Arabidopsis thaliana: one gene and its partner. The protein of the gene in region 1 purifies or fractionates together with the protein of each later gene. This does not show direct contact. Each region holds a gene or a part of one and is shown on either strand. Other genes may lie near its edges.

What was found. The genes of interacting proteins can lie anywhere in the genome.
Region 2: the proteins of AT5G14900 (region 1) and AT4G22285 fractionate together in Arabidopsis thaliana (co-fractionation; one large-scale study listed by BioGRID). This does not show direct contact.

The regions. Positions count from the first base shown.
Region 1 is NC_003076.8:4,821,792-4,825,533, reverse strand, and holds AT5G14900 (helicase associated (HA2) domain-containing protein), read left to right. Parts: upstream 1-1,952; coding exon 1,953-2,858; downstream 2,859-3,742. Other genes in the region: AT5G14910 (Heavy metal transport/detoxification superfamily protein), read right to left, coding at 338-466, 815-874, 1,138-1,191, 1,426-1,719.
Region 2 is NC_003075.7:11,777,841-11,784,542, forward strand, and holds AT4G22285 (Ubiquitin C-terminal hydrolases superfamily protein), read right to left. Parts: upstream 4,856-6,702; 5' UTR 4,738-4,855; intron 4,318-4,737; 5' UTR 4,059-4,317; coding exon 3,699-4,058; intron 3,586-3,698; coding exon 3,341-3,585; intron 3,065-3,340; coding exon 2,980-3,064; intron 2,907-2,979; coding exon 2,721-2,906; intron 2,630-2,720; coding exon 2,462-2,629; intron 2,367-2,461; coding exon 2,229-2,366; intron 1,853-2,228; coding exon 1,681-1,852; intron 1,606-1,680; coding exon 1,431-1,605; intron 1,320-1,430; coding exon 1,223-1,319; 3' UTR 909-1,222; downstream 1-908. Other genes in the region: AT4G22290 (Ubiquitin-specific protease family C19-related protein), read right to left, coding at 5,359-5,551, 6,070-6,281, 6,413-6,568.

The DNA of each region.
Region 1 (3,742 bases):
TCCACAATGTCAACATCGTACATGCATACATATACATAGTGACAAATGACAATCATATCCACACACAAAACTAAATGCATTGTACAAAGCAATGAACCTAAAAGTCTATAAAAATGCCAACCTCCATGCTTTGTGGGAACCCATATGTATATGACCCACTAATCAATATAGATATTTTCCATTTCTCTTTTATTTCAACAAAGAAAACATTAATTCCCACTTTCTAAAAAAAGTTACCACATTTGTTTTCTTTAGAGGAACAAATGAAAGAAATTATCCCTAGAATTGAACATTATGAGTTTCTTTAATCACAAAATGGAGGAAAAGGATGATTTCACTAGACAAGAACCTCATCGTCATCTTCAAAACTCAGATTCAAAGTCTGTAACTTAAATCCAGCTCCTTGTATAGTCTCCACCAAGTTTGACGCCACTCCTGTTGCTTGAACCGTTGTTTGCTTCAAAAGCTTCACATACATTGATCACAACATAAGCCAGATTCAATTGTACAATCAAACATAGAGATGTTGCTACGAGCAGTAACAGAACCGTTCATATAAAGGCCTTAACTATTCAAGGTCAGGCTCGAGGCTTTTGTTATACGGCCCCAAAGACTAATCCCCTGGTTAACCACCAAAATGTACAACAAAATGACATATTTGACCAGTCCAGTCCTTCTAAGGGTGTGCCAGCCATTATATCTCTAATAACATATTCAACATCTGTCCTTATCTATTTATATCCTCTAAACATATATGTGTACTGTGTAGGGGTGTGAAGAGACATGTAAAGGCAATGTTGGATGTAAAACATACCTCAACGACGGCAACACCTTCAGAAACCTGAACCTTTAAATTGGAAACTCCATCAATATCCTGAAAGAACAAAACAAGTATCAATTGGAACCTTTATATTCACTGTTTTTGTAAGCTATAGGTACTAAGGAAGATTTAGAGCGTGGAAAGAGTAAAGTGAACACCCAAATTCCAAGTTTAACACAACTACAAAGATTAAATTGAATTGAAACAAGTAACCAAAAGGGTTATATAATCCAAGAACCAGATGCATTCACAAAGATTCTCGTCAAGCTCCACACAGATTTGCTAGTTCAAGGAGAGATTACAAAGCAAAGTATTACCTGTAAGGCCCTTGTCACATTAGGAATAGCTGCTTCGTTCAAAGTTCCATCAGCCTTCATAATCAAGCAAAAAATCCAACAATGTTCAGACTCAATTTGAGGCCACATGAAATTGCAACAGAGTAATGCTCATAGTATCTTCAAAACAGTATCAATACAATTTTGCAAACCTCATTTCTAAGACCTTATAATACAACCATGAATCAATCCTACTATATCTATTAAAAAGCCATAAGTGGAGAATGAGGATGATAATCACACAAATTCACTGGACAGAGAGTGATGTACCTGGAAAAACATGGTGAGCATGTCTGAAGGAGAGACAGGAACAGAGACAGTCTCTTGCGGTTGCTCCTCTGCGACAGCGACACCTTCTCCTCCTTCTCCAATAGACGAAAGCTTCCTCAATCCAAGGCGATTTTGTTTTATAAACCCAGCAAAACTGCAATTGCGGCTATTTCCGATAGCTCTGGTCCGAAAGTTGAGGTTTTTCGACAAAGGAAGAAGGTGGGTCGAAGAAAGATTAGGGCTTTTGGTTCTGCAAAACGAGTGAAAGGTAGAAGAAGCTGCAATCGACGCCATTTTTCACTACTGACCCAATCTTCTTTCACTCGATAAGGTTGTGCGAGTTACAAGAGAAGAAGGTTTTTTCATTTTTGTGTTTTGCTCTTTTCTCACATTATCCACTCGAAGCAAGCCTGTAAAAAGACATAAATACCCTTTAGAAAAGCTCTCTTTCTGTCAGAAGGTTCATAAATTCATGGAGTAATATAATTTTTGACCATCAAACATTATATTACTCCTTGCAAATGACAATGACAAACCTTGCAAACACAGTTCTGACCTTGAAAGGACTTAGTGTGAAAAACTTGGTACGCTTCGATCTTATAGATTCTCCTGCTCCTGATACCCTCGCTCGGGCCTTGGACGATTTGTATCATTTGGGAGCACTTGATGATGACTGTAACTTGACAAAGACAGGTGAGATGATGAGTGAGTTTCCTTTAGACCCACAGATGGCAAAGATGCTCATAGTCAGTCCTCAATTCAACTGCTCAAACGAGATTCTTTCGATTTCTGCGATGTTATCAGTACCAAATTGTTTCATCAGGCCAAGAGGAGAAGCTCAAAAAGCAGCAGATGAAGCCAAATCTAGCTTTGCACACATTGATGGAGATCATCTCACACTTTTGAATTTGTTCCATGCTTTCTTGCAAAACAACCAAGACCCAAATTGGTGCTGTACAAAGTTCATCAACTACAGAGCAATGAAGTCTGCAGTTAGTGTTAGAGAGCAGTTGGTCCGGATCATGTTGAGGTTTCAGATTAAGTTGTGTAGCCCTGATTTCAACAGCAGGGACTACTACGTCAACATAAGAAAGGCCTTGCTTGCAGGTTATTTCATGCAAGTGGCTCACCTAGAACGCACTGGCCACTACTTGACTTTCAGAGATAAGGATGACCAAGTGGTGCACTTGCATCCTTCCAATTGCTTGGATCACAAACCAGAGTGGGTAGTTTACAACGAATACGTTTTCACTAGCCGAAATTTCATCCGAACCGTCACACATATTCGCGGTGAATGGCTTGTAGATGTTGCACCACATTACTATAAGCTTGCTAACTTTCCCAGTTCTGAGGCCAAACGAGTTCTTGAAAGGCACTATAAGAAGAGAAAACTGTCAGAAGAGAGGAGTTGTAAATTGTATAGCAATTCTTAAAGAGAAAATTTTGTTTTTAATTACATTAATTTTGTTTTTTTGCCATTGTGTAAGCTAAATATATCTGCAACTTGCAATGAAAAGCTTAGTTCCAACACCAATGAGATGCTTCCAGCTGCATAAAAACTCAGAGCTAAACTTTCACATCATTACCTTATTAGTTGAATAAGATTCCAATACCCATATCCATCCCTTAATTCAGGGTAATATGTCTAAATCACTAAGCTATTACCACTTATTCTAAAAGCATATTGTTCATCAATTTTAGCATCTCTGCAGAAGTAATAAGATCCATAACGCTATACCGTCACTTTAAATCATACTGCACCTAATTAACGGACAAGATGGACAACATTTAAAAAATATAAGATCCACCAACGATATAAAAAATGTACAAGTGAGTAGTAGCTAAAACGTAAAAAAGTTTCTACAGAAAAAAAAAAAAAAAAAAAAAAAAAAAAAAAACTGATTCAACCACAAGACAAGATCATTGTCTGAAACATTACATTGTGTTTAGTTTTCTGAACACATGAAACTGTAGGAAATCAGCAGAGGTACTTAGAAGTAAACTCTAGCTTTTGGCAAGGTTCCAAATAGGAAATTGCATAAGGTAATTCTACAACAATGTAATGTACCTGAAAAAAACATGGTGAGCATGTCTGAAGGTAGAGACAGGCACAAAGACAGTCTCTTACCGTTTCTGTTGCTATTCCTCTGCAATTGCAACCTTCTCCAACCCATTAAATAGCTTCCTTTCTCCTATTTCTTGTTGGATTATATACTGTATTTTACATAAATATATAAATATATGTTTCCTACCTTCATCATGTCTTTCTCTAAAAAGTTTATCTTTGTGTGTAGAATTACAAAAATTGATCACTAAC
Region 2 (6,702 bases), on another chromosome or scaffold:
ATTTGGACAAACACATCAGCTAACATCAATGGAAGCAGATGCAGAATCTAAAATAATGTGTTGAGCTTTACTAAAAAACCAAAGAATTCTCTCCCAAACCCATAATTGATAATTCAATTCACTACTATCAAAACATGTGAGCCTATAAGGGGGATGAGATCAACCAATACTTGATAATTCAATGCAAACACCAACCATATCAGTCATACGGTGAGCATAAAACTGACCAGAGGGGACGAGACTCGAGAGTGGAGGGAGACAGAGAAGCGTGCATCCGCCTTCGTAGAGAGAGTTTGGGGTTTTGTGTTTTCACTTTTCACATTAAATGGGTAAGTTTTGGGCTGTCTTTTATTTTCCACTTTTGGGCTTTAAGATTTAAGTTTCCACTATGGAAACCAATCAAAGGCTTCTACATGGGCTTTGTTGTTTACTAGCACAACATTGCACCTTTAACTTCAGACTTATCATGCACTGATGTGAGATATTTAAGCCGTTAACGTTGACAATAGTTGCTGGATTTCTTCCCACAATACATGTCTCATCAGTCATCACATCCTTTTCCATTACTGTGGAAGAAAATCCAATGATACCAGTCAAAATAAACGCCTACATCAACAGTCTAATACTTCCCATTCTACTGAAGTACTCAGGGTTTAAAGATTGATAGTGTATACATAAACCAGTCTATATACTATTAAAGATAGTATCTAATTTGGGTAAAATAATGATCCAAGGTTTGGATAGTGACTCTAATAGAAGGTTCTTTTTAGATTTTGGCTAAGATACTTGGTGCAACCCGAATAACAGTTTAAGATGCGTGTTGAATATAGCATACCCTTCTTTGAGACGCATGACACGGTCATCGGCTGAGAGGTTGTGTATTAAGATACAAATAAATTAGAAAAACACACACTTCTTTTTAAGATATTTTTTGGAAATGGAAACTCAAAAGTCAAATGTGTATTTTACTACAAAATTTCAAAAGTTGCAGAATTTGAAGACTTTTTACCAAAAGCTCTTCCCAAAACTCATACAATATGCGTTTTTTTACCAAGGTTTTTCATTATGATGAATCACTAGCAACAACAGGCTCTCTCTCTATCCTTAAAAAAGAGGTTCAAGAATCCCCTTTTTGAGTTCTAATCTCATTCCTCCTCAATCCAAGATTAAACTGGTCACTTTTACTCTTAAAACCAGATGGAGTCAGTTTGTTTCCAGTGCTCTATTCCTCCTCCTGCTCATATATCTGCATGTATGCTTCCGATAGTTCTACCATCTGGGGAAGTGTCTCTGCAACATGAAGATCCTGCATCTCGTACCTGCAATGGACATTATCCCCCAAATGAATTTATGTCTTTCTTATGCACAGATCTAGATCATGCATTTGTGAACATGAAACACAATAATAGTTAATGATTGAGAAAGCTTACCATAGTTCTTGTGACTTGCGCTGCACAAAGACTCTGAAGTATCCGTCCTCAGGCTTACCATCATGTACAATGTTAGCGATTAGATTATACTTTGAACACACATTCTCGCCTTCTGGTGCTCTAGGCAATGATGGTATGTAATCCCTCAGCTCCATGTCCTTCACTGGGAAGTTAACTGTGGCATAGGAAAAAATTGGCATTAGGGATCCTTATACAACATGAACGTCACAAAAATTCCAAATAGACTCACCCAAGGTAGGGTTCTTCTCTTTGAAGAAGTTATTCTTCTTGAACCGAACCATATGGAACATCAAGTAACGAGGAGATTTGATTACACGGTATCTCATTCTGGCCAGCTTAGGCCGAACCACCTCTGTCACAGTTTCTCCATCAAACTTCTTCAATAAATCAAATAGAGCAACCTGACCCAAACATCAAAGAAATTAGTTTCTGCTAACCTCACTTTGCAAACTAAACACTCTAAGACGCATATACGAGGTAGCAAGCCATAAAGGCTACAGGAGCTCCAAACAACCAAGGACTCAGAGAATTCTACACTTTCCCAAGTCATAAACTAGATTCGAAAAAGACAGTTTACTCCAGGACAGTAAATTTGCAATGGCACTATTTAAGAATCCCTTTATTGTATCTCAACCAAATGTGACATTATTATATTGAGAATTATAAGTTTTCTAGCACTTCACGTTATCTTATTGATCAAAATGTTCCCCTTACTGAAATGCATTTTTCAAATGGCACAGAGTAGCAAGACGTTCAAGATTTGAAATAGCCATATACCTGCGGAATAATGTTTTTCTCCATGACATCTTTGAAAAGAGGAGGCGGTGGCAAATCTAGACCGAGCATCAGAAAAGACATCCTGGAGATTTCTTTGTTTTCATTGCCTTGAAACTCTTTCACAACCTCCAACTCACCCTATAATGGTTAGAAGGTTACATGAAGATGCAGCTTTTTGTAAGCAATTATATCAAACTGCATTTAGGTTGACATGTCAAAGGACTGACACATACCTGGAAGCACTTGTGGATGATACTGCTGGCGTCCTTTGAAGTTCTAAGATCCATGTGCAAAGTGTTGAGGAGCCACGACATAAACTCTACTGGATCTGATTGTTGGCCAATCCTAAACCGTTTCTTGCTGGCTTTCATGACAGCTTGCAAGAATTCATGTGGACTCACCTGTTGATGCAAGGTGACTTAAATTAGCGAGGTCCTCAACAGGTGAGGGCATAACAAAAACTAAAAGTGAGAGGCATAAATTGAGTCAGACTTGTCCTTTAAAGTTTCGAGCATGCCAAATCTTGCGAGTTAGTTCCCCAAAACGGTGAACAAGAGGAGACTTGCAGTGCTGATAATTTTCAGGAATGAGGAAGAAATTCCTTAGAGGAGTAACTCTCATCAACGACTGGATTGTAACATTCACAAACTCTGTCTTTTGTATGTTGTTCAACCCCACCTACATATTTACAAGCTTAACCTTTAGGAGACATTAATTTCAAGATCAAGTGTAATCAAAGAGAAAGGATTACCATTCCTGGAAGATAGTCGGAGCCATCAAGAGCCCTAGACCACTGCCTATTCTTGTCAAGCTCGTTTACTTGTGCTCTACTAAACCTGTAAATGGATAACACCGAAGCCTTCATAAAAAGGAACTGTAAAATCAAAGAAAATTTGACAAGACATGAAAGAAGAGTAATATGTTCAAGCTATCAAGAATAAAAATATAAATAGATGGTAGATGATACAGAGAACTAGCAAGAAGAAACTGATTGAGATAATAGTCAAAGCAATTTTGTTGTTGTTAACTACGTGCAAAGGCTCACATGTTCACAAATCAATACACAAAATGCAGTAAGAACTATGAAGTAGTAGTCACAAGATCTAATATACCTTGGGTTTAAAACATGGCGAATGTCATCCAAAGAAGGGTCATTGATCTCGTAACTATCAGGAAGACAATAAACCTTCTCTGTCAGAAGATTGATGTAAACGTGGTGTCCTGCTTCCAAGCTATGTGTATAAGCATGAGACTTCTGGCTTCTTCCTTGGAAGTACTTCCCACAAACAAGACACGCATACACATTCAGATTTGACAAGGACACAGAGCAAAACCTCTCAAAATCAAAATCCAACACCTGAAATTCAACATACAACATGAGTTTAGATACTCAACACCAAAAACGATTATACAATGAAGACAGCAGAAACATAACCATTGATCAAAGATTACAATCAAGAAATTAATTACCTGACGATTAACGGTATCAAGATAAGGACAATCACGGCGAACTTCAACATGGCGTGAATGCTTTCCCTTACCCTTCGAGACATCATCATCTTCGTCGTCATCGACCTCTTCTTGAGCTTCTCCTTTCACTTTGTTACCATTTCCCTCCCCTTTCGCAACTCCATTACCACGAGCTTGCGATTTCTTCTGCTCGTTCTCCTCTTCCTCATCATCATCATCGTAAGTATTAGCCAACGGCAGAAGAGGATTGTTGAAACCTAGTGGTGGAGGTGGTGAATCAGACCGTTCCATCACTCTCTTCCTCTTCACTTCTCTCTCTTCCTCAGAAACACCATTCTTAACTTCTCTTTCACCTTTCATTCTCAAAATTTTCCTTATGCTACAGCTTGCTTCAAAAACCCTAGAAGTCTAGAACACAAAATCCCAGCGTTTCACAAAGATCCTCAACCAAAGAAGCAATGATTCTTCCAAACAAACGCCCTAGAATTCAAATCAGAAGAGATCTGATAGACCGTTGATTCTATCCATCCTTTTGCCAAATCCTAATAAACCTTTCAGGCGTGATCAATCTGAATAAGAGATCTCCAGCATCAACAACACCAAAGAAGATAATCACACACTGCAAACAAAACAAAAAAGCCACTGTGAGATAAGTAAACATGAGTAAAACTGAAAAGATACTTCCATCAGAAAAAGAATGAAACTTGGACAAACCAACCAGCTGAAATCAATGCAGAATCTAAGATAAAGTACACTCCTTTACAAAGAAAGGATGGATCCTAGCTCAGAACCATAATTCTCAATTTCATTACATAACAAAAAAAGAGTGAAATTTGGACAAACCCATCAGCTAACATCAATGAAAGCAGATAGAGAATCTAACATAAAGTGTTGTGCTTTACTAAAAAAACAAAGAATTCAATCCCAAACCCATAATTGATAATTCAATTCATTACTATCAAAACATGTGAGCCTATAAGGGGGATGAGATCAACCAATAATCGATATTAATCGGTCATACGGTGAGCATAAAACTGACCAGAGGGGACGAGACTCGAGAGTGGAGGGAGACAGAGAAGCGTGCATCCGCCTTCGTAGAGAGAGTTTGGGGTTTTGTGTTTTCGCTATTCACAAGCAGAGTGAGAGACCGTAAATTAAATGGGTAAGTTTTGGGCTGTCTTTTATTTTCCACATTTGGGCTTTAAGTTTTAAGTTTCCACTATGGAAACCAATCAAAGGCTTCTACATGGGCTTTGTTGTCATCAGCTTCTCTGCGGCTTTCATGCTTACTTGTTTACTAGCACAACATTGCATGCACCTATTGCAGAGATGCCTAAGGTTTCCTTGGTGGATAAGAATAGTGGATAGGACATAATAATTATTTTAACAGAAAAGAGCATTTACACTTTGGGGCTCTATGTACACAAACATAAACCCCATACAAGGGGCAAAAAAAAAAAACAGAATTAAGAAAGAAAAACAAAAGCTAATAAGGTAAAAGGCAAAGCCTATTTGGTTTTCTTTTTGAACCAATTTGGCTGTCCTCTCATTCCCTCTCTTCTCTTCTCTTCTCTTCCTTCCTTCAGTCTCGTGAGCCTAACTGTTTAAGCATTTTTATATTTGAATATCGGGCAAAAGAAGCATTACATACATATTGGTTTCAGACAGGAATGACATCAGCGTTTTGATTATCGTCGCAGGTTATGATTAAGCCATCTGCGTAGGTTGGGAAGAGGCAGTGCCACCACCGGCACCCACTGGAGACTGCTTCTGCCGGAGGAACTATCATCAGAACGTTGTCGTGCCTTCTTACCATCCCCATCACGCTCACTGTGCTTCCTTCTTTTATGTATCTGTTGCATCACACACAATCAAATATGATTTTAAATCAGTAACAAAGGGATTCTCTTTGACAGCAAAAGTGAAACCAATGAGCTTTCTTGTGTACTAAAAACGATCATTTGTACTAGAAACGGTGACTTTTGGGTCTCATTAGCTTTAGACTTAATTCAAACTTCTAAGCCCTTTAACTTCAGACTTATCATGCACTGATGTGAGATGTTTAAGCCGTTAACGTTGACAATAGTTGCTGGATTTCTTCCTACAATACATGTCTCATCACATCTTTTTCCATTACTGTGACTTTTAATGTGGAAGAATAACCAACGGTACCAGTCAAAGTAAACGCCTACATCAACAGTTTAATACTTCCCATTCTACTAAAGAAATCAGGGTTTAAAAGGTTGTAATTTGGGTAAAATAAGGATCCAAGGTTTGGATAGTGACTCTAATAACGTTATTTTTAGATTTTGGCTAAGATACTTCGTGCAACCCGAAGAACAGTTTAAGATGCGTGTTGAATATAACATACCCTTCTTTGAGACGCATAACACGGTCATCAGCTGAGAGGTTGCGATCTGACAGCCACTTTAAGAAGCTGGGAGATAAATCTTTGTTCTGCGTTGTTACATTAGCCACTGTCGCCGGTTTGACAAAAGGAGAAACTTTTGATCCATATCCTGCTTTTACTAGTGCTCGCAATCCAGATTGGAAATCCGAGATGTAAAAATCCGACACATATTTCTGCCAAAGAAATATAACCACAACAAGAATCATCAAACTTCACCATCTTTTCTTGTCATATAAGATCTGAAAACTTTGACCAAATCACTGAGACAAATGGTCCTTTTGCAAGAGGAGAAAAAGAAACTAACCTCTGCATGTCTAGATCCCCAAGAAAAGCATCGATGTTTTGGGTTTGCGGATTTCCCACCAAAACCTTTGTATTCATACAACTCCGTGGATACATAAACGCATCTTGGTGTTCTTTGGAACGAAGATTCCAAAGGAATGCTTCCACATGTCACAACCTACAAAAACATAACAAAAGTTTTAACATTTCCAGCAAATAAAAGACACACCAGTGACCACACTACCATATCTACATCAACATTGTTAATTCAGACAATATAAATGGTCTGTCCAACGCATTAAGCTAGCTGTT